Lonchura striata: one gene and its partners. The protein of the gene in region 3 purifies or fractionates together with the protein of the main gene of each other region. This does not show direct contact. Links are inferred from orthologs where the notes say so. Each region holds a gene or a part of one and is shown on either strand. Other genes may lie near its edges.

Evidence for each region.
Region 1: the proteins of NHERF2 (region 3) and ARHGEF6 purify together in Homo sapiens (affinity purification with mass spectrometry; 3 studies listed by BioGRID and IntAct, with this or other methods). This does not show direct contact. The link is inferred for Lonchura striata from reciprocal best matches to the Homo sapiens genes NHERF2 and ARHGEF6.
Region 2: the proteins of NHERF2 (region 3) and LPAR2 purify together in Homo sapiens (affinity purification with western blotting; 3 studies listed by BioGRID and IntAct, with this or other methods). This does not show direct contact. The link is inferred for Lonchura striata from reciprocal best matches to the Homo sapiens genes NHERF2 and LPAR2.
Region 4: the proteins of NHERF2 (region 3) and KCTD5 purify together in Homo sapiens (affinity purification with mass spectrometry; 3 studies listed by BioGRID and IntAct, with this or other methods). This does not show direct contact. The link is inferred for Lonchura striata from reciprocal best matches to the Homo sapiens genes NHERF2 and KCTD5.

What each region holds. Positions count from the first base shown.
Region 1 is NC_134616.1:184,271-191,987, reverse strand, and holds the start of ARHGEF6 (rho guanine nucleotide exchange factor 6), read left to right. Parts: upstream 1-4,699; 5' UTR 4,700-4,797; coding exon 4,798-4,962; intron 4,963-5,972; coding exon 5,973-6,056; intron 6,057-7,717. UniProt on the Homo sapiens protein: Acts as a RAC1 guanine nucleotide exchange factor (GEF).
Region 2 is NC_134623.1:1,985,930-1,992,880, reverse strand, and holds the start of LPAR2 (lysophosphatidic acid receptor 2), read right to left. Parts: upstream 3,016-6,951; 5' UTR 3,007-3,015; coding exon 2,274-3,006; intron 31-2,273; coding exon 1-30. UniProt on the Homo sapiens protein: Receptor for lysophosphatidic acid (LPA), a mediator of diverse cellular activities. Seems to be coupled to the G(i)/G(o), G(12)/G(13), and G(q) families of heteromeric G proteins. Plays a key role in phospholipase C-beta (PLC-beta) signaling pathway.
Region 3 is NC_134618.1:16,765,788-16,772,900, forward strand, and holds the start of NHERF2 (Na(+)/H(+) exchange regulatory cofactor NHE-RF2), read left to right. Parts: upstream 1-4,112; 5' UTR 4,113-4,152; coding exon 4,153-4,362; intron 4,363-6,327; exon of another isoform or gene 6,328-6,456; coding exon of another isoform or gene 6,457-6,471; intron 6,472-7,113.
Region 4 is NC_134618.1:17,567,653-17,575,115, reverse strand, and holds the start of KCTD5 (BTB/POZ domain-containing protein KCTD5), read right to left. Parts: upstream 3,010-7,463; coding exon 2,776-3,009; intron 1-2,775. UniProt on the Homo sapiens protein: Its interaction with CUL3 suggests that it may act as a substrate adapter in some E3 ligase complex. Does not affect the function of Kv channel Kv2.1/KCNB1, Kv1.2/KCNA2, Kv4.2/KCND2 and Kv3.4/KCNC4.

The DNA of each region.
Region 1 (7,717 bases), on a different chromosome or scaffold from region 3:
CTGTTGAAATATTTAAATTAGTCTTACTGAAAGGATACTTCACAATAAGTGTTGCTAAATGTTAAGAAAACTTAACCTTTTTCCTTTAAAAATCACTGATGTCACTAGTGTGCCACTAAAGGGGATTATGGAAATAGGTCTAAAAATAGCATTTCCCCTTCATTTCCCCACTCACCTGCAAAAAACCACCAGGAGTCAGTTTTGAAATTTATAGTTTGACCCAGATGTAGGTCTTAAATCCTCTAATGAAGAGGATGAAATGCTGTCTTTAATGCAGCATTCTAGGAGACCTCAAAAGATATTGACAAATCATCATATAGGTTGTGTCAGAACATTTTAAACTAAATGTGTGTGCACCTCAGTTCTCTCTGTTGGGAAGCTGAAGCTTAATTATTCTTGACAAGTGAAAAAGCTTCCTTTAAAAAAAAAATAGGTGCTTTTTTTCAGTTTAGTAAATCTGTTGTAACCATGTTGTAATAAAATATGGATATTGGAGACAAAAGTGCACTTTGTCAGCCTTTTCTTCAGTTTCTAAATGTTTCCAGATCCTTAACAGGCATGGTACCAATGTTAAGGGAGCAGTAAATAGACCTTAATTTATGGCAAGGAGGGTAATAATAGCCTTGTGGAAAATCAGGGTGCAAATGAAATTGCCAGCTGTATACCTTCCCTTGATTGCAAGTTCTGTTTTATTTATAGCACATTATTGCTTACAGATTAATACCAGTATGTATACCAGTGTATAACAGAACTCCTGAGTAGCATGTTGAGATTACCAAGAGCTGGTGGGATTTTGTGGTGAGTAGAATTTGAAGGGGGAATACACCCAGGAATTGTGGTACTTAGTACCTGCCCTGGAGACAGTGTTACACAAGCAGTGTGCATTAATACAAGCTGTTCTCAGGGCATTTTGATTATTATAGTTAGCTATTGATGTGCTCTCATAATGTTGGAACAGATCAAATACAATCCAAATGCATTAACTGTATATATAAAATGAATTCAAAGATAATCTAGCATTTTTATCTCTTGGCTTCTGAGAGGGTACTAACTTGCATTTCCTTTTTCCAGTTGCAGCGACTAAAAGGTGGCAGTGCAGCAGTGGATGTGCATTGGAAAATCAAAGGATAACAAATCACAACTGATGCAGCCTGGCTTTTGAGTGTAGTGTTGCCCACCATTTTCTAGAGGATTGTGTAAGCATTCAGGAGTTGCCTTTGAAAGTAGCACTACCGATCTCTTGGATATACATAAAATTTCTGGTGGAAGCGAACCGCTGTCTGCCATAGTTCGCACCTTCCAGCAGTGCAGAGTGAGCTGGTTTGTTGCTCGTTACACACACATCCTAGCAGCAAAATACTTCGGTTGGCTTTTATGTCTGTGCTTGCCATTTATGCTGATAAAAAGAGCAGGTTACACAGAAGTGAGTCTTAGTCCTCTTGAATACAGAGGACTTCACCAAGAAAACACAGAAAGTTCTGCTTTATTACATTAACAGTTTTGCCCCAACCTTCTGGATTGAGAAGAGGGGAGTGTTGGTGTACTCAGACAGCGTTAGTGATGAATGGCCAGAATAATGAAGTGTTCCTCTATGTACACTGGACAGCAGTACATCTCTTGGGAGTAGGTGCTTCCTTCAAAACTTTGTATTGATTTTGATGTATTTTTCTCTTACATACATATTGATATGCCAGTGTATGTGACTGGAATCCTCAGGCACTGGTATTTCATGTAGAAAAGCCATGAACAATCATGAATAATAAAATTTATACTGACTTCATAAACCGATCTCATTTAAACAACCCTCAGTTCATAATGAGTAGCTAAAGAAGAAAAAGCATGTATACCTTGTCTAGAGATTTAAACTTTATGTTTGGGGTGAGGATATTGCTTTGAGCCTCAATTATGGGCTACAGATTCTAGGTGTAAATCTGTATAACAGATTGGTAGAACTGCAGTATTTCCCAGGGCAAATAAATTTACTGTTAACAAGTATTATGGGTTTGGGGTTTTATTTTCTAATTTAAAAGAAAAACATATTCTTCTCAGAGGCACTTGGATGGTAGTCAAGATTACTAGTGTTACATCTTGGAAGGTTATTGTTTCAAAGTGTTCTCAGTATCTCTTCTGCAAGGAGGAGGGACATTCTGTACTGACTCCTTTTACAGTACTCTATTAGCTTACAGTGTTGAGCACTGCTGTTCAGGCTGAACTGGATCATCCTACCTAAAGTGTAATGCCAAATGGCAGCTACTGTATGATTCGTGCCTGCCTAAAATCCTAATTAATGAGAATGTACTCTGATCTACAGTATTAGCTCATGGACAGAGTCAGACTTTGTTGTTGAAAGCTACCAGTTGAAACGTATCAATAGATTCTGCAGCAGACAAATACTCCAGTGCCGTTCTTTGTGGTTGAATGTTTTCCCTCTGCTGGAAAAAAATAATGAATTACTTAAGTATGTGTGACTTCAAGAAGAACCACTCAAAAATGGTTTCTGAATATGTGACTGCTCATCTCTTACCTTGCTCCTGTCACTGTGCTGTCGTGATGTGTATGCTGCCAGAGTCACAGGTAGTTGGGTAAAGTCACCCGCTTTTAAAACACTGTATTATTTACTCATCACTGATATAAATCAGGCTGTAAATAAGGTTTTTTAACTAAGTTGACTCTGCAAGAGATGATTGATGATTTGCTTGATTTGTTGCTGTCAGCAAGTACACAGAGGTGAAGCCTTTCCAAAGACCAGACCAGACACTGTTCCTTAGGGGCTCTACCTTAATACCTTGGGTTTGCCACAGAATTAATTTTGGTGTGGAAGTGGGTAAACAAGCTGGAATGTGTTTAGAAAGGATTCTAAAGGATGTGAGGTTGGGTATGAAGTGACTAATCAAAAACTCCATAAATTTTTGGACTTAATGAATATTCGTATCTGCAGGTCTTTCAAGCAGCTGATAAGTGTTCAAGATGTGGGAAGTATTTTCATTTAATTGTAGTCGCAGACATCTGCTTGGCTGTAGCAACTGCATGTGAAATAATCGTAAAACTAAACCCGCCCATCTATACCAAAGGTTTCCTTTAGAGGAGGAAGTAGGTGCAGTACTTCAGTGTTCAGGTTTGTGACACACTGACTTCCATGAAACAAGTATGCAATTCTCTCAGTGTTGGAAGTATTTCTCTTTACATCAGAAACTGCTGTGTTCTGATGAGGTGTCTTCTATATCTGAATGCGTGTCCCCACTGATAAATAAGCATTAGTAGTTGTCTTGGCTACCTACAGATTTGAAGAAAGATTTATGAAATTATGGATAATGTATGTATTTCCTTCTGTAAAGCAGTAGCGTTCATGACAAGTGGTAAAGAAAGCCCAAAGCAACTGAATTGCCAACGGGTCATAATTTTGAAATATTTTGCACACATAAATTTGTGTCTCACCAAAGAGCAGTGAGCTGTGATTGAGCTGTAACCCACTTTTTCCACAGTGCCTGCAGACATGTGTTAAGAGTATTTCCACACTACAGAGACCTGGAACTCATCCCAAAGTCCTGAAAAAGGTCAGAACTGTGTCTAAGCCTGAAAGGACAGTTCTTATTTACTGGTAGCTCTTAAAAGTTGTCCTTAGGTAGGTCCCAGTACCAGTCATAAGACTTGTAAAGTGGAGGCAAAACCATGCACATTTACTGTGTACAGTTTATCACTGCTGCTCTGTTTTTCCCGACCCTTTAAATCATAAGTAGTTTGGTAACACTGGGTTCTAGAAAGCTGCTTTAAGTAACAGGGTAGGAATTGGCTGAGTACATTTGTAACCAAGAAATTCTGGTCTCTAGGATACTTTGTTCCTGTTGGATTCTTCAAGCCATGATGTTCCAGCTTCATCAACAGAATTGCTTCATTTTCCATCTGTTCTGGTGAAAGGACGGTTATAAAGATGACTGGACTTTTCTGACTTGCTGTGATATGTAGTGGTGGTTAATGCTGCCTTGGGCAGGGTGGAAAACTACCTTCACAGAGGATCCTGAAGTGGTGGTAGAAAGGGACATCTTAATAAGACAAGTGAAATAGTTGGGAATTTTATTCTCAGCTTTGGATTACTTAAATTTCTGACCTTTTTGAAGTTATCCAGATAATTGTTTTGAGAGATGATCATCTTCCAAATAACCATTTTGGATTATATGTGGACTTCTGCACAGCAGTTGAAGAGAGGCATTATTTATGTGTTAAATATATGATCAGAATTTATTTTCAAAAATCAGACAATGGAAAATAGAAAATTACTGTAAAAGGCAATTTTAATAGCCACACAAAGTTGAAGATCTGTATTTAGTCCTACATTCCTCCAAAACATCACCATTTTGAATTCTGTTTTAACACTGGAAATACATCATTATTTACAGTGTTAAGAAATTTATTTCTTTGGGCAATAACCTTAAGTTCAGACCAAATTTACTAGGTGATAGGGTGCCAGCTGCCACAAGGAGGAAGTCCCTATGCGAGATACTTTTGGTGTAATAACTATCCATATAAAATACTTGCATCTATAATAATTTTGCAAAGATGTAGTTAACAATCTGCTTTCCCTGTCTCCTACTGAGTGCTAGAAACTATTTTATTTTGACAACAGTTTTGTACCTTAGATAACTTCTTTTAGTTCCTAAGATTTGGTTTCTGTAGCAAGCCAAAAAAAAAAAAAAAAAAGTAGTTTCAACTTGAGCTGCAGCAGGAAGATGTAATCACGGATGTGGGTTCCAGTACGCTGTTGTATAGGGGAACAGCTCTCAAACAGCAGAGCTCTCCACCATGAATCCAGAAGAACAGATTGTAACGTGGCTTATTTCACTAGGAGTCTTAAATTCCCCTAAGAAAATAGTGGATGATCCAGAGGGGTTCCTGAAAACTTCTCTGAAAGATGGAACTGTGCTTTGCAAACTCGTTAATCGGCTTCTTCCGGGATCTGCAGAAAAGGTAATGTTTCCTGATGTATTTCACTACGTTGAGACAGAGCCCTGCTCAATGAAACCCTGCCCTGGGCATTCTGAGGCCCAGTAACTCTAGTGAGAGGGCAAGGAGCTTCAGAGAGAAATGTCACATTTAAGTTCCTAATTGAAAGCCAAGTATGATTGTAGCTTTGGTTCCTGGATTTTGTTTCTACATCCAGAAAAAAAAAACCCTGCAAGGTTGCAGCTGACTCCCTTACCCATGTTCAGTCAGTGGCAGGAAATACTTGGTTTACCAGAGATCAGAATATCTTGATTTCGAATAGAAGGATATGCAGTGTGTCAGTGTTTATACATCAGTATAATTAATTACAACTGTAAATACATTCACTCTTTCAGAACTCTTACGGCAAAATGCTTTGTTATTTAGGAAATGCACTGGAGAAGCAGATTGGAACAGGAATAAGCAAATAAGGCTTGCATCTGTGCTATTTGGTCTGTCCCAAGACCAGCAAATCTCTTGGTACTGAAACCATGTGAATGCCGCCTGTTATAGTTTGACAAGGTGTGTATTCACAGTCCAGAAGTGTGATAAGAATCTGAAGGAAAAAAAAAGGGAAGGAGTCCAATGAGAGATAGGAACTGGCAACACAGAAGAGAAGCTTTTAAAAAAGCAACTACTCAAGTTTCTCCACCCTATAAAAAAGGAGTCTTTCATTATGCAGAATTCAGTTTTGCTAGCTCCTTATCTTTTTCTTACTTGGGGTGGTTCAGGGCAGCGTGTTGCTAAAGGTCATCAATCTCCCACTGTCACTTACAGCACTGTGGTATGTTGGCATTCAAAACAAGATGCCGACAGCTTCTATGTGTGCATCACTTCCTCCAGTGGCTTTCTTCCTGCTTCAACAGCTTGCCTGCCACCCCCACCCGCCCTCTGAAGAAGCTTCCCTAATTCAGTATAAAAGGCACATGTCAATATTCATGCAGGCCTTCTCAGTACTGGCAATGCAATGAGATCAGTGGATTTTCTTTCTTTAGTATTGCCTGGAGCCTAAAAATGAAGCTGATTGCATCAGTAATATTCAAGAGTTCTTGAAAGGCTGCACACTTCTGAAAGTGGAGGTAAGTCAACTTAGATCCTTTATTTTATTGTAACATGCCAGTTTGATCAGCCTCAAAGGAAACCAGATACCAGAGGGAAAAAGTTGGTATCAATTCATCATCCTTTTTATTAATATAAATCAGAGCATGGATGATTTAATATTCAGTCTGGGTATTTTGGAAACTGTACTAACTGTGAGCTTAACAGATTCTCATATTTTGAGACAAAACATGCAGCAATAACAGGAGGTCTGTCTAAACAGACTTCAACCTGGACCTGTTAATAATATTTTTTTCATTATTAGAAGGAATTGCAGATACTAGCCATGCTTTCATGGGAAGGTGAAGTATTCTTAATTCTGCACTATATTTTTCATCCCCTGCAGCTGTTGTGTAAGATTCTGCCAAACATATATTAAATTGTTCCTTACACAAAAAAATAGTCCTAATGAAGTGAAAAGATACCTTTCTTGTGGCTGCTCCTGATCCTATCTGTGTCAATTCTTATGCTTAACCATAGCTCATATTTGCAATATCAGATTATAAGTGAATCACTTCAGAATTCAATTAATTTTGCCATCAATTTTTTTACTAGCTAAAGACTTTTGTGTCAGACTTAAATTCCTGCAGTAAAAACAAAACAAAAACATCCTGCTGTAACTGTCTTGTTTGAAATATGCTCAATATTGTGGGGAAAAAAAAAAATTTCTGAAGACAAGTCTGCCAGAAGCAGGGACAGAATCCTTGGACATTATACAGAATATTCATGCACCACAGTGAGAAAAGTCCAACCCATAATAGCTCTGTTGCTGCATTTTTTTCCTTTGAAGGTCTAAACAAGAAAAGGGCCTTTCTTCTCTTTAGAGCTTTTTAGCTAAGCAGCATAAAAATGTGCTCATTCCAGAACTGTCTCCCTGGTCTTTTGTTGCCCAGTGATGCATTTCTTGGAGCCTGTTGCAGCAGCACAGTCTTAAGAGCATATATATAGTAAGAGAGATTTATAATCCCTGAAGGCCTATTGCATCAGGAGTCAGTTGTTGCCAGTCTTCTGATACTGACCATGTGATTTCCTCCGTTTTTCTGAGTTTAGTTTTCTGTTTGCAAACTAATAATAAAATGGTTGTGCTGGAAGGTATTTTAAAAAATGGGAATCTTAAACAGCTAAAAGGTAGGACAGGGGGACAGTCCTCACCTGTTGTGCAGTGCCATCTCATAACTTTGAAGCTCATTCTGTAATATTGCAATCACACTCCACAATTTTTAGATACTCAGAACAGGCAACGTGGCATGTCCATCTCCATCTCTGATCTTTCATGTGCCTTTTCTTCTTTGGCTTTAATAATTTCAAGGTTTCTGGCTTCTTTTTTCTTATTTATAACCCATTTCATCAATGAAATATTCTGAGCCTTCAGTAGCTTCCCTTATGCTCATGTGTGCCTTTCCTGTTTGCTGTGAGAGGAGACTTCAAAAGCTGAATAAAAACTTGAACCTATCTAGTTCAAGTTTAAATTTTGCAGTGCAATGACAACAATTTCTTCTTGGTTTTTTTTTTCTTTTCCAAAATATTGTCGTATTAGAGACCAAGTGAATACATGAATTTTGCTTTTTCCTAGCTCCTCTCTGTAGCCTCATGCAGAAGGCTTAAGGTAGGACAGCTGAAATGGTGGGCAAGACATGGCACA
Region 2 (6,951 bases), on a different chromosome or scaffold from region 3:
GGCCGGGAGTCCAGCACACCACGAAGGCACCTGGAAAAACGGGGGGAAAAAATGGGAAAAATGGGAATTTTTGGTGATTTGCTGGCTGGGATTTCAATTCTTTATGGCCCAAAGAAATCTGGGATAAAATTGTTCCATGGAATCCCCATGGATTTCGACCTTTGAGAGAAAAAGATCCAGGAGAGCACAAAGGCACCTGGAAAAATGGGGGAAAAAATGGGAAAAAATGGGAATTTTTGGTGATTTCCTGGCTGGGATTTCAGTTCTTTATGGCCTGAAGAATTCCAGGATAAAATCATTCCATGGAATCCCCCTGGGAATATTGGGAGAAGAATGAGATGAGGGAACAAAGATGGAAAAAAGATCCAGGAGACACAAAAGGCGCCTGGAAAAACGGGGGGGGAAAGGGAAAAAAGGGAAATTTTGGTGTTTTTCGGTCACTTCCTGGCTGGGATTTCGGTTCTTTATGGCCCAAAGAATTCCGGGATGAAATTGTTCCATGGAATCCCCATGGATTTCAATCTTTGAGAGAAAAAGATCCAGGAGAGCACAAAGGCACCTGGAAAAACGGGGAAAAAAGGGGAAAAAATGGGAATTTTTGGTGATTTCCTGGCTGGGATTTCGGTTCTTTATGGCCCAAAGAAATCTGGGATAAAATTGTTCCATGGAATCCCAATGGGTTTCGACCTTTGAGAGAAAAAGATCCAGGAGAGCACAAAGGCACCTGGAAAAACGGGGAAAAAAGGGGAAAAAATGGGAATTTTTGGTGATTTCCTGGCTGGGATTTCAGTTCTTTATGGCCTGAAGAATTCCAGGAAGAATTCCATGGAATCCCCCTGGGAATATTGGGAGAAGAATGAGATGAGGGAACAAAGATGGAAAAAAGATCCAGGAGACACAAAGGCACCTGGAAAAACGGGAAAAAGGGGGAAATAATGGGAATTTTTGGTGGTTTTCGGTCACTTCCTGAATGGGATTTCAGTTATTTTCAACACAAAGTATTCCGGGATAAAATAGTTCCATGGAATCCCTGTAGGAAATCATGGGAGAAGAATGAGATGAGGGAAAAAAGATGGGAAAAATATCCAGGAGATACAAAAGGCACCTGGAAAAGTGGGAAAAGAGGGGAAAAAATGGGAATTTTCAGTCACTTCCTGGCTGGGATTTTGGTTCTTTATGGCCCGAAGAATTCCGGGATGAAATTGTTCCATGGAATCCCCATGGATTTCAATCTTTGAGGGAAAATGATCCAGGAGAGCTCAAAGGCACCTGGAAAAACGGGAAAAAAAGGGGAAAAAATGGGAATTTTTGGTGATTTCCTGGCTGGGATTTCAGTTCTTTATGGCCTGAAGAATTCCAGGAAGAATTCCATGGAATCCCCCTGGGAATATTGGGAGAAGAATGAGATGATGGAAAAAAGATGGAAAAAAGATCCAGGAGAGCACAAAGGCACCTGGAAAAACAGGAAAAAGGGGGAAATAATGGGAATTTTTGGTGTTTTTCGGTCACTTCCTGAATGGGATTTCGGTTCTTTATGGCCCAAAGAATTCCGGGATAAAATTCAGCACGGTGTCTGTCACGTGGTGCACACCTCTGTTATCTAATTAACCGCTAATTAACCACCCACTGGGGATGATGATGACCAGCCCACCAAGAATGACGATGACCAACCCAATTCTCCTAATTACCACTAATTAACCATCTACTGAGGATGATGATGATGACCAACCCATCAAGGATGATGATGACCAACCCAACCAAATATGACGATGACCAACACAATTAACCCCTAATTACCGCTAATTAACCATCCACTGAGGATGATGATGACCAACCTACCAAGGATGACGATGACCAACCCAATTCTCCTAATTAATCCTAATTAACCATCTACTGAGGATGATGATGACCAGCCCAATTAACCCCTACCGAGCCACCCACCCAGGATGATGGTGATGGTCTTGACCAGCGCCAGCACGGTGTCGCGGTGCCGCGGGTGCGCACCTCTGTTACCCCCTAATTAATGGCTAATTAACCACCCACTGAGCATGACAATGACCAACCCACCAAGGATGACATGATGACCAATGCAACTAACCCCTAATTACTGCTAATTAACCACCCACTGGGGATGATGACCAACCCACCAAGAATGACGATGACCAACCCAATTCTCCTAATTACCACTAATTAACCATCTACTGAGGATGGCGATGACCAACCCACCAAGGATGACGATGACCAACCCAATTAACCCCTACCGAGCCACCCACCCAGGATGATGGTGACGGTCTTGACCAGCGCCAGCACGGTGTCGCGGTGCCGCGGGTGCGCGCCGGTGTGCCGCGCCATGCGCGCCATCCTCCTCCTGACGTAGACGAAGATGTGCCCGTAGACCACCACCATGACCAGGAAGACCACCAGGTTGGAGACGGCCCAGAAGGTCAGGTAGCTGCGGCTGTAGAGCGGCGCCATCCTGGAGCAGCTCTCCAAGGAGCACAGGCAGTGCCAGCCGTAGGACGGGATCAAGCCCAGGAGCAACGCCGCCGCCCAGATGGAGAAGATCAAGCCCACCACGCGCTGGGCGGACATCTCGCTGTGCAGCTGCATGGTCAGCACCGTCCGGTGCCGCTCCACCGCGATGGCCAACAGGTTGACCACCGAAGCGGTCAAGCTGGTGTCCAGCAAGCTCTGACGGATGAACCAAGTCTTGAGCGACAACTGGGCGGTCCTAGGCCCGGTGTGGAACATCAAGAACATGTAGGCCACGCCGGCGAAGAGGTCGGCGGCCGCCAGGTTGGCCAGCAGGTAGTAGATGGGGTAGTGGAAGCGGCGGTTGGTGGCCACGGCGGCGATGACCAGCAGGTTGGTCAGCAGCACCACGGCGCTGACCGCCAGCCCCAGGGCCACCACCAGCACGTCCTTGGGCCGCCATGTCGCGCTCAGCTCCTTGCGGCTGTTGTTGTAGAAGAAGCCGACGGTCTCGTTGTAGAAGCAGTGCTTCATGGCGGGGGGCCTGCCGGGAGGTTTGGGGGGAAAAATTGGGATTTTGGGGAAAAATATAGATGGGGGGGTGGGGAATGGGGGAAAAATGGGGGGGAATGGGGAAGAATGGGGGGAAATGGGGAAAAATTGGGATTTTGGGAAAAAATATATATGGGGGTGGGGGGAATGGGGGGAAAAATGTGGGGAAATGGGGAAGAATGGGGGGAAATGGGGAAAAATTGGGATTTTGGGAGAAAATATATATGGGGGGTGGGGGGAATGGGGGAAAAATGTGGGGAAATGGGGAAGAATGGGGAGAAATGGGGAAAAATTGGGATTTTGGGAGAAAATATATATGGGGGGTGGGGGGAATGGGGGAAAAATGTGGGGAAATGGGGAAGAATGGGGAGAAATGGGGAAAAATTGGGATTTTGGGGAAAAAAATAGATGGGGAGTGGGGGAAATGGGGGAAAAATGTGGGGAAATGGGGAAAAATGGGGATTTGGGGGAAAAATGTGGGGAAATGGGGAAAATGCGGGGAAATGGGAAAAATGGGGGGAAATGGGGAAAATGGGGGGAAATGGGGAAAATGGGGGGAATGAGGGAAAATGGGGATTGGGGGAAAAAAATGGGGGGGAATGGGAAAACATGGGGGAAATGGGAAAGAATGGGGGGAAATGGGGAAAAATTGGGAATTTGGGAAAAAATATATATGGGGGTGGGGGAAATGGGGAAAAAATGGGGGGAAATGGGGAAAAATGGAGATTTGGGGCAAAAATGGGGGGAAATGGGGAAAATGGGGGGAATGGGGGAAAATGGGGATTTGGGGAAAAAATGGGGAAAATGGGGATTTGGGGGAAAAATGGGGGGGGTGGAAAAACATGGGGGAAATGGGAAAGAATGGGGGAAATGGGGAAAAATGGGGGGAAATGGGGAAAAATGGGGGAATGGGGAAAATGGGGGGGAAAAAAAGTGGGGGAAATGGGGGAAAAATGGGGATTTTGGGGGAAAATAGGGGAAGTGAAGATTTTGGGTAAAATGGGGGGGGGAAATGAGAAAAAAGGGAGGAAAATGGGGAAAAATTTGGGAAAACACCACAAAATTTAAAAAAATAAAAACCAACCCAAAACTGGGGGAAACTCCCAAAACTAGGGAGAAACTCTAAAAATTAGGACAAAAAAAACAAATCTGGGGAGAAAGCCCTCCAAAATTCTGAAAAAAATCCCAAATTCTGGCTCACCTGTGCTCCCCTGAATCCCAAACTCGGGAATTTTCAGGATCCTCCCATCCCGAGGTTTTTTCCTTCCTGGATTTTTTTATTCCAGAGTTTCCGGGGCGGTTTCTCCTCCTTGGGCAAACAAATCCCTGGAGTTGAGGAATTCCCGAGGAATTCCCATTGTTCCTTGGGATGGACTTTGCATCCCAACATTCCCAAGGCTATGAGGGGAAAATCTGGGATAATCCCCGCAAAAATCAGGAAAAAAATTGGATTTTTAGGAAATTTTAAGGGGAAAAAAGGAGGGGGGAAATTAGGAAATGAGGCTGCTCCGGGTGGTTTTTCCCAGGTTTTTTGGGATGTTTGGATCTGATTCCAGCTGGGAATTGTTGATCCCAGAATTTTGGAGTTGATGGGATGGGGCTCAGAAGGAAATCTGGGAGGAATTCCCAGATTTTGGGGGAGTTTTCAAGATGGGAATTCCTTTAAAATCCCGTTTAAATCCCAATTTAATCTCAATTTTCCCATTCTTGATGTCCCTCCTTTCACCTTTGATCCCAAATTTCCTTGAATTGCTTTTGGAATGTACTGGGAGTGCCAAAATCCTGGAATTCCCAGATTTTTTTGGGAGGAAAAGGGGTTTTTAATCCCATCCCAATCCCACAAAAATCTCTCAAATTCCATAAAATTCCTTAAACTCCAAAAAATCCAACAAAATCCCATAAAATCCCATAAGATCCCAGAAAATTCCCATAAAAATCCCATAAAAATCCCCTTTCCCTCTTTTCCCCCCGTCTTCAAATCACTGAAAATTCATTCCCAAATTTCCCCCCCATGTAACCACAAAAAACCCTTGGAGAAGCCCAAAAATCCTGGGGAAAAAAAACGGGGAAATCCCAAATTTCCCCCCCCCCCCCCGCAGCTTTTCCCAACATTCCCAGCCCGACCTTGGAATTCCCGCGGGAATCCAAACAATTCCAAGAGGGGAAAAAAAAAAAAAAAAAAAACCAAAAAAAAAAAAAAAACCAAAAAAAAGGGATTAAAACCACCCCAAATTCCCAAAATTCCCGCCTGGAATTCTTTCCACAAAAATCCACCGGGAGCTGCAGGAATTCCTTTGTTCCCAAAATTCTGGGAAAGGGGGGAAAAAAAGGAATTTTCTGCTACTTTTTGCATTTTTCCAAGTTTTTTTGGGGTTTTTTTTTGAGCCTTTTCCAGCGGTTCTGCAAAAAATTCCGGGATGGGGGCGGGAATTTGGGAAGAATTTGGGGTTTTTCCCGGGATTTTGGGTTTTTTCCTTGGATTTTGGAGTTTTTTCTTTGGATTTGAGGGGCTTTTTCCTTGGATTTGTGATTTTTTTCCTGGATTTGGGTTTTTTTTCCTTGGATTTTGTTTTCTTCCTTGAATTTGGGGTTATTTCTTTGTATTTTGAGGTGTTTTCCTTGGATTTGGGGGATTTTTTAATGGGATTTTGGATTTTTTCCCCTGGTATTTTTTTGTTTTCTTCCTTGAAATTAAGTGGGGTTTTTTTTTTCCGGGATTTCGGGGATGTTTCCCTGCATTTGGGGTTTTTTCCCTTGGATTCAGTTTTTTCCCTGGATTTAAAGTTTTTTTCCCCTCAATTTGGGGTTTTCCCCTGAATTTGGGGAGGTTTTTTTCCCTGCATTTTGGGGTTTTCCCCCTGGATTTGGGGTTTTTCCTTGAGGAAATTTCCCTCTTTTCCGGGATTTTCCCTCCCCTTTGGGAATTCCCCTCCCCGTCCTCCCTCGGGACCTCCTTCCCTCCCAAAATCCCTTAAAAATCCATTAAAATTCCCATTTTTTCCTGGAAAAAAAACCCGGAAAGGGCCTCCCCTACTCCTTCGCAGGCCCGCACAGATTTGGGGCAAAACCCCTGGAATTTGGCTGGAATTCTCCTCCCAAAAAAACACCAAAAAAAACCGGGAAAACTCCATAAAAACCCAAAAATCTCACTTTTTTTCCCTTTTTTATCCCTCCCGGGGAATTCCCCCTCCCCCATTTTTAAGGCTCCGAGGGGGATTTTGGGATGAAATTCCGGGAATTCTCACCTGGGATCAGCACGCGGCGCTCCAGGGGGGAAATTCCCATTTCCAGCGGCGCTTCCCGGCGGGAAAAAAAAAAATCCCCAAAATTTCCTTTTTTTTTTTTTTTTTTTTTTTGGTTAAAAGTTGGAGGCTCGCGAAGAAATCCGGGAAGGGGAAAATTCCTCCGAGGAACCTCCGGGAGCCGCCCCCGGGCGGGGCCTGAAATTCGATCCCGGGAACCCAAAATCCCGATCCGGGGAAAATTCCGGGAGCGGGATCCGGAACTGGGACCAGTTTAATCCCAAACTGGGATTGGTTCATTCCCAAACTGGGACCGGTTCAGTTCCCAAACTGGGACCGGTTCATTCCCAAACTGGGACTGGCTCATTCCCAAACTGGGACTGGCTCAATCTCAAACTGGGACCAGTTCAGTTCCCAAACTGGGACCAGTTCATTCCCAAACTGGGACTGGTTCATTCCCAAACTGGGACTGGCTCAATCTCAAACTGGGACCAGTTCATTCCCAAACTGGGACTGGCTCAATCCGAAACTGGGACCAGTTTAATTTCCAATCTGGGACTGGTTCATTCCCAAACTGGGACCAGTTCATTCCCAAACTGGGACCGGTTCAGTTCCCAAACTGGGACCAGTTCATTCCCAAAGTGGGACCAGTTTAATTTCCAAACTGGGACTGGTTCATTCCCAA
Region 3 (7,113 bases):
CCTCATCAATCTAACCTGGGGAATGTTTACAGCTCAATAGTGCCACACGCAGAGGCTCGGGGAAAATGAGTTGGTGTTTTTTATGAGCTCTCCTCTCATTCCTGGTTCCTCCGGCAGCACAGATAAATCATCCCCTTTGAAATCATCCCCTGGGAGCAGCCAGGCCCGGCAGCCCCACGCTGAGCCATGCTGAAACAAGGCAGGAATGAGCACGGAGCATCCGAGCCGCTGGGAAATCCCAGGACTTCATTTATTCCCAGTTAGAGCCGGTCGCTGCGGTGCCAGGGGCTCTCCCAGCAGGGATCCCCAGCACCGGGAGCAGCCCTGGCTCGGCCACAGCTCCCTGCACAGCCAGCAGAAGGTGCTGGGCTGCCCAAACTGCGGGGAGGAAAGCTGGCTGTGGATAAACACCAGCACTGAGGAGGAGGAGGAGGCTGAGCGGGAGGAAGAGCAGCTCCCACAGCTGGGAAGGAGCCAGGAGAGCTGGGAGCAGCTCCCAGCCCCAAGCAGGATGAGCTCAAGCGACATGCCGGGACAGGGATGGGCTGAGTGGGACATGGAAAAGCCACCAGAGCTGCCCAGAGCCACTCGTGGAGGCACGAGGGACACACAGGGCTCCTGGCACCTCAGCTGTGAGGAACCCAAAGGCACGTGGAAAACTTCCCATCCCTCTGGAAGCTCTGGCACAGCCCAGTGACTCCATCATCATCGACCATCCTCCTCCTCAGAGGGCTCCTCACCCTCCCACTGCCTCAGGAGCAAAGCTGACTGCGCAGGCTTGGGGGCTCAGCTGAGGATTTCCCAGTTTCTGCAGGAAGATGGACTTTGTGGGCTCCCCAAAATCCCCACTGGCAGCTGCCAAGGAGCCTGGAGGCCGACTCTGATTTCTGCAGCTGGGAAAGTCCTCCCAGCACCTGCATTTTGGATTATGTTGCAACAGCATCAGGCCCGAGGCAAAGGGAGGAGGACACAGGTGGGATTCTCTGTCACTGCCCAGAACTGGAAGCAGATGTCGACCAAAAAAAGCTCCAAACCCTTCCAAGGCACGGAGCTCACAGGTCCCTGCACTGCCTCTGCCTCCAGGCAGGCCCAGTGTGGACTGAGAGATGTGCCTGAGTCAAAACACCCAAAATTTACATGGAAAACTTCTGCCTGAGCAGGATCTGCAGGGTTTACCCACGGCTCTGCCATTCCAGGCGCAGGAACCTCTCTCCTGTTCTCAGTGAGACCTGGGAGGATGGGAAAAGGCAGGATGGGGAGAACCAAAGGGATTTTGTACCTCGGGAGGATCTACCTTTGCACGATGTATTTTAATGTTCCTTCCAGCTCCTTCTCCACCAGCTGCAGGGAAGAAATGCAGGATTTCCCTGTGATCCATGTTGGTGCCCAGGGATGCACGCTGGGATGATCCCAGGACAGCCCAGAGCTGGTGCCAGAGGCACAGCCACAGCTCCTGAAGTACAGCGATCACAAAATAAATGTTTTATTTTAGGATCACAAGGTGCTCAGGCAAAGATCCAGTGCTGAGTCAGAGCTACAGCTGACTAGAGCGTCCCCTACATCCTCCACAATAAATAAATGGGGTTTTTTGGGGAAAGAATGCCCAGGGCACACTTGAGAAAATGCTTGTGCTTAAAAAAAAACGTAAACAACTGTTTCCCCCCTTTCTGAAATATTTTCTCTCTGTTTTATTATCTTTTAAAAAAAAATTTCATGCTCCCAATGCTTTCAAAAAGATATTCAAAAGGGTTCAAATATTTACTCTGACCACCTGAAAGATTTTCTCCCACTGTGTTTTTATTGCGCCAAATGCAAAGAAAAACTTTTTGGTTCAAATAAACTTGAAACAATTCCTTCTCCTCCCCCTTTCCCTCCCATATTTTGGTTTAGCCAGCGAGTGGAAAAATCAATTCTTCGCACTCCTCCAGCCCGACAAAAAGCTTCAGGACTCCACAAAGAGGCTCTGGGGAGCAGCTGTGCTGTACAGCAAATAAACCTGCCTCAGTTTCTCTGCTTCCTCTGGGTCACCCAGGACTTCGTGCTGAGGTCGGCGCTGCTGGGGTGACACAGGCAGTGCAGGGGCCAAAGAACCATCACTGGGGAACTAAAACATCCTCCTGGTGGGACCTCAGATCTTCATGGGGGACTAAAACATCCTCCTGGGGGACATCAGATCCTCCTGGTGGGACCTCAGATCCTCCTGGGGGACATCAGATCTTCATGGGGGACTAAAACTTCCTCCTGGGGGACATCAGATCCTCATGGTGGGACATCAGATCCTCATGGGGGACATCAGGTCATCTTTGGGACATCAGGTCCTCATGGGGGACATCAGATCCTCCTGATGGGACATCAGATCCTCATGGGGGACATCACATCCTCCTGGGGGAACTAAAACATCCTCCTGGTGGGCCATCACACCCTCCTGGCTGCCACACGTGTCTGGAGGCAGGGCCTGAGCCCGTGCCCACCCCACGGTGACAGACAGCCCAGGGGACAGCACCGGTGCCCCCGGTAGCCCCTGCCCTGCAGCTCCCAGAGCCACAGTGCCTGCAGGGAACGAGGTGGGAAGGACTGGCAGAGATAAATAATGCTGTGATTTCTCAGGATGCAGTCTCCAAGCATGTTTGTGGTCCCGGGGTTTTTAAGGGTGAATTTATGTATAACTGCAGTGGAAGTAGGGTTTTTAAAGCAAACTACGCATTAAAATAAATCAAGATTAATTTCTGGAGCCTTTTCTTTCCAGCCTCCAGCTGGCTGCTGTGTTTGCTTCAGCCCTGTAAAATCTGGGAGGAAAGCAGATGAGGAAGGAGAAGCTGCAGAAGAAGGCCTGAGAACCTGTGTCACAGGAATGTGACACTCGGGGCCAGCACTGTGACAGCTGCTCTGGGTCACGTCCTCTTGTAAAAGATTTCAAGGAAATGAAGGTGAGGAATGCAAAAAGGTGAAGACGGGGATCTCTGTGTTCCATTAAACAAACTCAGCCCAGGTGAAACCTGGGTGGCCTCTCCAAGCTCAGCCCAGATGGAGCCGGAGCCTTTCCCCACCAGGAGTCATCGAATTTGGAACGGTTTAGGTTGGGAAGGGCCTTAAGGGACTTAAAGCTCCAGTGCCATCCACCCAGTGCCACCCCTGCCATGGGCAGGGACACCTTCCACCATCCCAGGCTGCTCCGAGCCGCGGCCAGCCTGGGGACACTTCGGGGATGCAGGAGCAGCCACGGCTTCCCTGGCACCCGTGCCACAGGGAGCCGTCGGATCGTGCTGCTCGGGGCTTCTGGCCCCGGGGCTCCACCAGCCGCTGGTGCCGATGCCGGTGCCGGTCCCGGTGCGGCGCCGATGCCGGTGCCGGTGCCGGTGCCGAGCCCGGTCCCGGTGCGGCATCGGTGCCGGTCCTGGTCCCGATGCCGGTCCCTGTGCCGATGCCGGTGACGATGCCAGTCCCGGTCCCGGTGCCGAAGCCGATGCCGGTCCCGGTCGCGATCCCGGCGCCGATGCTGGTGCTGGAGCCGGTCCCGGTGCCAGTGCCGATGCCGGTGCCAATGCCGGACCCAGTGCGGCGCCGGTGCCGATGCCTGTCCCGGTCCCGATCCCGACACCGATGCTGGTCCCGGTGCCGATGCCGGTGCCGATGCCGGTGCCGGTGCCGGTGCCGGTGCCGATGCCGGTGCCGGTCCCGATGCCGGTGCCGGTGCCGATGCCGGTGCCGGTCCCGATGCCGGTGGCGGTGCCGATGCCGGTGCCGGTGCCGATTCCGGTGCCGGTCCCGATGCCGGTGCCGATGCCGGTGCCGGTGCCGATGCCGGTGCCGGTGCCGGTGCCGGTGCCGGTGCCGCCCCGTCCCTCGCTGCGGCTCCGCCCCGTCCCCTCCCGTCCCGCCGCCGTCCCCGCCCGCCGCGCTCCCGGTGCCGCGGGGCAGCCGCAGCATGGCCGAGCTGCGCATCGCCCCGGCCCCGGCCCCTCGCCCCGCTGCTGCCCCGCTCCCACCGCCGCCCGCAGCCCCGGCCCCGGCCCCGTCCCCGTCCCCGGCCCCGGCCCCGGCCCCGGCCCCGGCCCCGGTCCCGACCCGCCCCTCGGCGCCCGCCCCGGGCCGCCCATAAAAGCGGCCCCGCGCCCGCCCCGCTCCGCCGCCGCCGCCGCTCCGCCGCCGGCCATGGCCAAGGACCAGCTGAAGCCGCGGCTGTGCCGAATGCTGAAAGGGGAGAGCGGCTACGGCTTCCACCTGCACGGCGAGAAGGGCAAGAGCGGCCAGTTCATCCGCAAAGTGGAGCCCGGCTCGCCCGCCGAGGCGGCGGGGCTGCGCGCCGGGGACCGCGTCGTGGAGGTGAACGGGCTCAACGTGGAGCAGGAGACGCATCACCAGGTGCGGGATGGAGCGGGGCACACGGGCACCGGGGCCGAGCGGGGCCGTGCCCGCTGCAGCCTCCCTGCGGCGGGCAGAGCGGGGGTTTCACCCAAAATATCCCCGCCGGAGCATCCCCGGCCGGGCAGCGCTGGGCTGGCCGCAGCGGTGCGGTGGATGCTCCCCCGAAATGCCGGGGCCGGGCTTTGCGTGGCCCGGGATCCGCAGCTCCGTGCGGGGTCGGGCTGCGGGCGCAGGACGCTGCAGTCGTGTCAAGGTGGGGAAGGCGAAGGTGTGCGGGGCTGGGCAGGGCTCTGCCGCGTTATGCAATCTGTGGTGGAAAGGAATGGGGAGACCCGGGCTTTATTTCCGGCTCTGCCGTGGGTTTTCTTGGCTGCTTCGGGCGAGCTGCGCCTGCCTGTGCAGCCCCGAGTGTGGGAAGATGCCTGAAAATCTGCAGATAAAGCCGTGCAGATGTTCGGCAGTTGGGCTGGCCGGGGAGCGATAGGGCTCGGAGGGGAGCCGTGGCTCTCCCTGACCACGCTTGGGCAGGTCCAAGGCTGCCGTTTCTCTGCTCTCCAACAAAAGCTGTTTCGGGCTGTGGCATTTTCTCCTTGTAAAACTGAAACTTGGATTTGTCAGACAGTTTAGTCTAAAAAACCCAAAAAATGCGGAAAAAACAAAACAGCAAGCAGCGAGGTTCGAGCTGCTCCAGTCCTGCTGGACACTCGGAGCCTGGCAGGGGCACAATTTGCCTCGTGGTTTGTGGAGCTCTGCAGGATTTGGTGTTTTAGTAACTTAAAACATCTGCTCAGCCCCGCTGCCAGCGCTGCATGGGGGCAGAGCTGGGATGTGCCGTGACCCCACAGAGTTTTGGGGGGCCGTGTGTTCCCAGACCTCACTCCAGGTGTGCATGTTGCCGTGCTGGAGGTGAAACAGCCTTCCAGGTGGCTCCAACAAAGCCTGGTGGACTCCTCTGGATGAGCCTGGTGGGGTTTGGTGGCGAGTTGAGCTTGTTTTGACGCTCCGAGCCAGCCGTGTGAAAGTTGATGTTTGTCCTGAGTGGGATTTCAAACCCCTTGAAGGAGGATCCCCATCTTTGATGTGGCTGGCCAGGAAGGAGGGCTGGGTTCCTGTGGTGCCTTGGAAGCCACCAGAGCTCCCTGCTGGCGCTGGGCTGCTGGGGACGGGCGATAGCGGAGCCAGCTGTGCCTTTGAAACGTGCTGGGGCTTCCCAGTAGGTCAAGTGAAATGGGAGGGGGAAATTTCCATTTCTTCCTTTTTGTTTTTTCGTTTGTGTTTTTGCTGCTGGCGGCAGGATGGAGCGCTGGCACTCGCTGGCTGCTGCAGAGCAGTGATTGGAACGAGGTGTCCCCATCCAGGGTGTCCAGGAACTCGCCCGGTGCCCGCTCTGGCTGCCGTGGCATCTGAGAGCGAGAGTGCAAGCGCTGGGATCACCCTTTTTCCTGCCTCAATACCACAAGAACCTCTTCTTCCCCCAAAACCTCGCCAGCACTGATGGGCCGTGGCGAGGGCGATGCCCTGGTGGGTCACACGGTGGCTCTGAGCAGCCACCTCACCTTGGTCCTTCCTCGTGCTGCTCCTTGCCCAACCTTGAACAAGTAACACTTCTCCATGTGCCCTGGGGAGCCCGCAGCACACAAGGCCTTGCTCTTTGGGTGTAACTGTGTTTCCAGCCGAAGCTGGCAGCATTTTTGTCTTTGTTCTCTTGGTTTTTTTTCCTGGCCTTGCCCAAGGAGCGAAGGCAGAGCGTGCTCTGTCTCAGAGTTGCGTCCTGGGTTCCTCGGAGCCGGGCAGAGCCGCAGCTCCTGAGCACAGAAAGGTGCCCGGGGAGCCTGGCAGGATGGAGCAGGGCACGGGCACCTCTGCGGGAGCTGCTGCTGGCACCGTGAGTCCTTCCTGGGCGCTGCCGTTTGGCGAGGGTGGAAGGGCCCGGGGCTGGCGCTGCCGGGCTGGCGCTGCCGTCACCAGGGGTAAAGTCTGCTCGGGTGGGGCTGCGGAAATCCTGGGGCTGGGTCGGGTGCTGAGGAGGTCCCAGATGAGCAGGACGGGCTGCATTGTCTCCAGAAGCCTGCGGGACTCCAGGCTGGGAGCATGGCTCGGAAGCGGGTACGGTGCTGGGCAGGAGCTCGCCGGGAGCTGCTGCTTTGCCCCCCACCTCTCTGCTCTGTCCCCAGGGAGACCTGCTGCCTTGGGGGGCTCCTCACAGCCCCTTCTGCTCATCCTGCTCGTGGGGAGGGGGCAAGGGGCTGCTCTGTGCCACTCTCCACCCCTGGCACTTGTACCTTTGCTCCATCGCTGCTCTCGCTGTGGCTGTTGGGGGGCTCGGCCGTGGGGTGAGCCCAGCACTGCTCCACGCCAGCTTTGGACCCTTCTGTGGACCCTCTGAGCATCTCTGCGGTCTGTGGGACCCCTGTGATCCCCTGTGCTGCCTGCAGCACCCGAATTGTGGGCTCTGGGGGATGGCACTGCAGGGCCAGCACCTTCCCCGTCCGCATCTTTGCTGCCGAGCTTTGACTGCTGCTGCTGCCAGGTCCCCTCGGGGAGAAGTGCCCCTGCCCGGGCACTGCTGGTGCCAGCAGATGTGAAGGGATCTGAGCGGGAGCAGATGGATTTTCTGGGCCTGATGGATCAGCCCCTCCAGGCTGCTCGGGGGTGGGCTCCCGGGATCGCTGCAGTGGATGGCTTAGCTCAGCCCTGGCTGCAGCCTGGACATTTCTCGCAGGCTGGTTTTTTTTTTTTTTATTATTT
Region 4 (7,463 bases), about 800 kb from region 3:
TAATTATTTTCATTGGGATCAATACTGGATCTGGATACACTCAAGTCATACCATCAAGCTCTTGGCTCAAGGCTGTATGCTCTAACATGAATATTCTGATTTTACATAATTTAAAAATTTTACATAATTTACATATTATGAGTTCTGATAAAGGCAGCAATATGCAGGAAATACAGTCGGTTTTGGTACTAAATTTGAATTTATATATAATTGTCATCCTTATAATCTGTGCTTTTTAAATATTGAACTAGTGAATTTTCACAAACTGTGTGGCCTAAAAACTTTGAGTGTTTGCAGACTAATAGTACTTATCAAAACTACGTAAGTAACACAACCCACCTGACAACTCATAAATCTCATGGACAAATTAAATATATCTGTTACGTCTTAGAATAATGACTACAATTTAGATATTTCTTAATGCTGACAGTCAAGGTTGTGCTACCACGAAGACTTTGATTTTTCTAAACCACTCAGTGCTTGCATGCTTCCTTCTTTGACAGATTCTATGCCAACTTTAAAAAGGCATTAAAAATTAAGCATGAATACTACTGCCAAAACCTTATACAAAAGTATGACAATCTCCTTCTTACGGGAAAGTTAAAAGAATGCTAGAACAGTTTGCAAAGAAAAAACTGGTATACAGCTAAAAAAGGAAGATGCTGAAACAAGGAAATACATGTAAATTATTAGCAGTAATGCAGTAAAAGCATTAAATTAAACAATGATGACAAGGTGATCAAGGCTCTGCTTGTCTATTTTAATGTATTCATCTCTAAACCATTTAGATTTAAATACCATGGAAAACAAATCCTGTTCTGAAAAGTAAATATGACCACTACTGCTCATTTTTTTTCTGAAATCTGAAATGCTTCTCAAACAGTTTTAAAGCTGTGAGTAATATTGTGAAACATACTGAATTCAGAGAGTCAATTTCATTATTCTAATCCATTCAATACTAGTTTGGTCACAGGGTGTGCCAAAGATTAATCTTTCTCCCATTACAAATGGAAACATACCTGACAGCCAAGAGACAGGCTGCTCTGTCCTACTCAACATTAGTACCTGAAGGCAGTTTAAAGGCCAACATGCTACCTTTTTTGAAGCCTCTCTGTTCTTTACAAGCAAGCAAGTAAATCACAGAATCACAGAATATCCTGAGTTGCAAGGGATCCACAAGGATCAAGTCTAACTCCTGGCCCTGCACAGCACAGCCCCAACACTCCCACCATGTGCCTGAGCTTTGTCAAGCTCATGGCTTGGGGCCATGACCATTCCCTGAGAAGCCTATTCCAGTACTCAACCAACTTCTTTGGAAAGAACCTTTTCCTGATATCCAACATAAACCTTCCTGACACAGCTCCATGCTGTTCCCTTGGATCCTGGCAGATCCAGAACAGAGACTGAAACTGCTCCTCAAGAAGAACATGCAGACACCAATGAGCCTTCCCTCAGCCTCCTCTTTTCAGCTGAAAAAGCCAAGTGACCTCAGCTATTTTTTTATATGTCTTTCCCTTCAGAAACTTTGTGTTCCTCCTTCAGATGCTAAGAGCCTTAGATCCCTCTGATATTGTGGTGCCCCCAAAACAGAGCAGAATGGGACAATCCCCTCCCTTGCCCAGCTGGCAATGCTGGACAACAGTGCAGGAAACAGTTGGCCCTCCCATTTGCCAGAGCATATGGCATTGCTTTATCTTTTAATTAGGAAACCTTAGAGGAATGCTTTCCTACTCTCCCACAAAGACAGTTTACCTATCAGCAAGCCACCTAGATTTTTAAATTTAGTTTTATAGGTTAATTTAAGCTCTCCATAAAAACCTCAACCAAAACCAAAGACAACTAAAAACATTCCCATACCACCACACTTCAATTTTTTTTTTCTTCTAACTCAGGAACATTACATTCTGTACCCTATGTTAAGTGTTCAAATATCCTTTCTGAAAGTTATACCTGAAAAACTGATGAAATCTACTAACCTCACTGGAAAAAAAAATTACATATAATAAGCAACTCCTTATTTTCAACCTGTTGGTTACAGAGTTATAAGCTGTTCCTTTCTTTTCCCAAACTGTACTGGAAAATGGCTTTTTGTCCATGATGCTTCAAAATTTCTTTCAGAGCCAGGACTATACACTTTATATCCATTACTACATACCATATCACAAATAAAATCTCAATAACTTTCTTCCCCTACTAAAATTGAATCAGAGTGAATACCAAAATATTCACCCACTACTTGCAATCTATGCAGAATATGCAACATTTTTTCTCTAAAAATTGCTTAAAAGACAATGTTACGTCTAAGTGAGAGATTGTTATCAAAAGTCCTTTGCTCTGGTTCTTGTAATTGAACAAGAGAATAATGACAGTGCAGAAATAACACAATGTCAGTGCATGCAGATATTTCATTAAAACGCTAAAACTAAACCCCATCAGACAACATAAAAATATTACACAAATGTACAAACGACACTACGCTGTCTGCTGTATTTATGAGCAGTTTTGTTATTCACGAACCCAACTACTTCGCACGACATCACTCATTAAGCAAAACTCTTCAAGGAAGACTCCCTCCACGGCAGCAGAGTCGTTCCTGCCTCCCCTCACCGCGGCGCCGGGCCCCGCGCTCCCTTCACGCCGCGGCCGCCCAGGCAGGTGGCACAGCGGGACCGGGCTCAGCCGCAGCGCAGCCCCGGCGCGGCCGGCGGGGAGCGGGCCCGGCGGCGGGGCAGCGAGCCCGAAGCGGGGAGCGGGCGCGGCGGGGCGCGCGCTCACCTTGTCCGAGTCCAGGTCGGGGTCGGCCTGGCAGAGGCGGAAGAGGAAGGACTTAGGGTCCCGGCAGAGCGTCTGTCGAGTGGTCAGAAAGCAGGTGCCCCCCACGTTCAGCCTGACCCACTTGCCGGGCCCCGCGCCGGGCAGCGGCGCCGAGCTACACCGACGGCAGGGCCCGCCCGCGCCGAGGCCGCCGGCCGGGGGCACCGGGAACTCACAGTGGTTCTCCGCCGCCATCCTCGCCGCCGCCGGAAGGGGCCGCCCCGCCGCCCGGCCCCCGGCGCGCCGCCCACCGGAAGCGCCCGCTGGAGCAGCGCCTGCCCCTTCTCGCCCACCGCCCCGGCGGCGCCGGCGTGGGGCCCCGAGCAGCGGTCACGGCTGCCACACGGCCGCGGCCCGGCTTACCCCATGCCCCTCGCCCCACGGCGGAAGGAAGAGGCGGAGGCCGCGCAGAACCCTACATGCCTTTATTACAGACTACCAAGCATAAGTGAAATCCGTCATCCAGTCACTAACTACACATCTACAGCACAGAGATCTGTCGAGAGGAGAATAAACAGTCATTAAATTATGAGATATGATTAAATCATCGACCAATAGAAAATTTATATAATAAAGCCAGAAAAAAGGTGTAAAATATAGTTTACAATAATTATTCACATTCAAGGCTGTACATCAATACATACAACACCATGGCCCCGAACATGAATTCAATCCAAATAATTCATATATTAGAATTTAAATAACACAGACTGAACTAGAGGCCAACAAGAGCCAGCAAATAACCTTAGAAGAATAAAAATACAAAAGTGTGTATCATATAATTGCATTATTTGCTTCTGTTTTCACAAGTCCTGGAAGAGGGGAGATTGTTTCGTGGTTTGCTGAGTGGGGGTCAGGGGTTTTGTTTCTTTGGGGTGGGTTTTTTCTTTTCTTTCTGTACATCACAGTTACAGCTACAAACCACATAGAGAATATTACATGTGTAGCTGACTGCCACCAACCTGAAAACAGCATACAATATCAAAACTGATCGTGGTTCCTCAATCCTAATTTTTCTCTTTTATCAGATATAGTTTTCAGTTCTGCTACCATTTCGAACATTCACCACATCAAGTCTGTTAGTACATGGCCATAGGAAGTTTTGTCAAATGGCAATCATCTACATTCATGGCCCAGCTGACAGAGCGATCTCTCTCTTGACCAGGGACAAGACTTGATGAAATGGCATGAAGCTGAGAGCTTTAGGGTTTGGTGTCAGGAAAAGATCACAGGAGCTTTAGATTAGGCGTCAGGAAAAGGTTTTTCACTCAGAGGGTGGCTGAATACTGGAACAGGCTCCCCAGGAAGCACACTATCAAGCCTGCCTGAGTTCAAGGTGTCTGGCACATGGTGGGATTGCTGGGGAATCCTGTGCAGTGCCAAGAGTTGGACTTGATGACCTTGAATCTTTCTAATTCAATAGATTCTCTTTATGCTAAAATGAGGCTATTGGGTGTTTAAGAACCTCTCCAACTGTTTATTGCATAAGGGTAATTTCTTCTATGAAAGAGGAAACATTCTGAAATTATCAGTCATAAATGAAAACATGCCATTTTGGATTACAGAGCTACTTGTCTGTAAGCTCACTTGATCAACTGATAAACAATCTGCATCATGAGGCTTTGCAGGAGGATTTCCACTTGATTCATAAAATATTTCCATGAAGCATTACAGGCATTCAGCAAAATTTCAGATAAAAATACTGCACCTATTTGTGCAATTTACTAGTAGAAAGAATGATCAGAATCCATCCAGAGGCCACATCCTTAGGCAACTATTACACAAGTTCTCTCCTCAGCAAGGTGTTGAAATCAAATGTTTTTTCCACAGGCCAAATGAAGTAATTGTCTTGACTTTACTAAACCATTCAGAAGAAAATGTACAGGCGGGAAATTCCCATAATTCTTCAAAGTTCCCAGCACAAAAAACAATTGTATCAAACACATTGAATTAAGCATCTTGAACTATGAAAGCTGATTAGAATAATCACATCTTTGTTTCAATCCACAATTCTTTTCAGACTTGTATATAGCAGATACCTCACAATTAAATCACATCAGAAGGAGAAAAGTAGAGCACAGTACTGATAATTTGATCATTTCAGCAACTAAGTGCCTAGCAAATGGAACTGTAATAGGCAATATCAGTCTGCTAACAATGCCTCAACATCACATCTGAAGTAACTCTTTCTTAATACAAAACTTTTACAAAACTGGACTTTAAGGCAAATGGTTACAAACTGATTTCTCAGTTTATTGAAGTAGTCCTTAACTTGTGACTGGGCAGTAGTACTTCATCCTTTTTTGAGCTCCACACCAAAGAAAAAGATGGAATAAATACCTTTCTGAAGTTCAAATACTAAGCAAAGCAAAATTACAACATTATTGACCAGATTCTTCATACATGATTGACAATTGTTGAAATTCAAGAGATGGAATGAATCAACAGATTTGGTTTTCAGAAGGCATGCAGTAAGGAGAAATCTTAAGAAGAGTCTTCAAGTACCTAAAATTTTTTTCTGCTTTGAAAACCTTGGATTAAAAGCAGAAAAATCACCTGGCCTATGTGCAGCTCTGAAGAACCTCCCTTGCACATTTCATTCCATGAACTCCCATGAGCCACAGGAGTGATCTTCAGGACAAAGACCTGATTCTACCCCACATCAAGTATAAAAATTTAAAATGGGTACCAGCCCTTCATGGTATGCAGCACTTCTCAACACACATTTAAGTGGACAAACTGGTAAAACATACTTGAATCCACAATTGCTTTGTGATGCCTCACTCTATACTCTTGTCACTTTTCAAACCCACAGATTCTACACATAGTCCAAGAAATAGAAATATCTCTCCCAGGAAAGTTCTAGCTCTTTCCCAAAAAAGCAGTAACTATGTAAGACTGGATTAGGAATACTGAAGCTCTAAATGGAGTGATGCCTGTAAGAGATGCTTACAGTTTTCCAATAACAGCTTTGTCAATTAAAAAAGAAAAAAGGACTTCTAGAATGCAGACATTAGCATTCCAGATACCTTCTTGACAGCTTACTGCTACCAAGATTTACAAGGCTGGCTGAAAGCTTTTGGTGGGCAGGATGAAAGCCTATGGACAGATTTCCAAGGTGTCAAAAACCATAATTAATTTGCTATGGTAAAATCACTAAAAATCTAAATATTACAGAAAACATGTTTAAGCACACCTAGATCTCTACCTCGTTAACAAGCCAATGGAGGTAATTTTGCCAGACTTTTTAAGTGATGTCAAGTTTTGTCACACTGAACAGCAGTGGCACTGTGACTCTCCATCACTGCCAAACTCTCCTGTATTAAGTTGGGAATATGTCTGTCTAGATCTTAATACCAGAGACTAAATCCAAAAGCAGTAAGGTTGTCTCCAGCGGACACAATACATGGCTGGAATTTGACAGCTGGAGAACAAATGGATAGCATTGCAACAGACTTAAAATACATGTTATCTTGGTTAGAACAGCATGTATAACTCACTACAGACACAGATCAAAGGTACACTATGCTATTCAAATTTGAGTGATGAGTATACTTTGTATGTGATGGAATTTCTCATGATGCAAAGGGAACATTTTTCTGTCTTCCTCAGCCATTTACAGGACCCCTTCTCCCCCTTAACACCAGACACAGTAAGCCAGGGATTTGCTTCTCTCAGTTTTCCATATGTGGTGGGTACAGAAGACTACAGGAATGCAGTTGCTCCAAAAGAAAAGGCAACTGCACTGTCTCTTTTAAAGACTGGAAAAGCTGAACTGCCATCAAGTTCAACCACATAACACAGTTTTTAAGAGATCAATAATAAATCTCCTTCACCCTGTAAAAGAAAATATTCTACATTCACATATTTTCTGAGAAATCTGATAAGCTATTGTTCTTAAAATACTGCTTCTAGAGAACAGTAGCCTATGAGTTTTTTCAACATTGTAGAGAAACCTTTCTTTGGTGGAAGGAAAAGCACATCATAAATGTGCTTTTTGTCAAATATCATAGTATGACAACTCAAAATGCAAAGTAATGGTATATGCAATGAGTGAATAAGTAAGTGCGATGTTTATACTGCTTTTAAAACAAGGAAGGAATGCCTTTGTCCAGACCTAGGTCATTCTCCTCTGCAAGGTTTAGGAACACAAACTTGTAGAAAATACCACTGGGGAAGTTTTTTTTCTAGCACACAGGAAGATGTGTCTTTGTAACATGACAAGAAATGTTTGACCACAAAACCAGCCATAATTGGAAAAGGATAAAGAAGATTGATATGAAAAATATTTTCATTTTATAGATATGCTTTAAGTACCATGTATTTTCCCTTTTGTATCAATATTTGGCTTTGATTTTCTGACCAGATTACTTTATTATCTGTATTTCAACTCCTTACAGTTTTTCCAGAGCTCCTGAATATTTGGCCAAGGACCAGAAATAGAATTGACATCTCATTACACAATGAGACAAAAAAAAAAAAAAAGTCAAGTAATCAATTGTACAAAAATTGCACAATTGTACACCTCCTTCTCTACCCAAGACAATAGGTTGGCCCCACTAAAATGCACAACACATGCACAACCTGGAAAGAAAGCTTCTAGCTCTCATCTGCTGAAATGGTGAAAAACTATCTACTATTTCAATAGT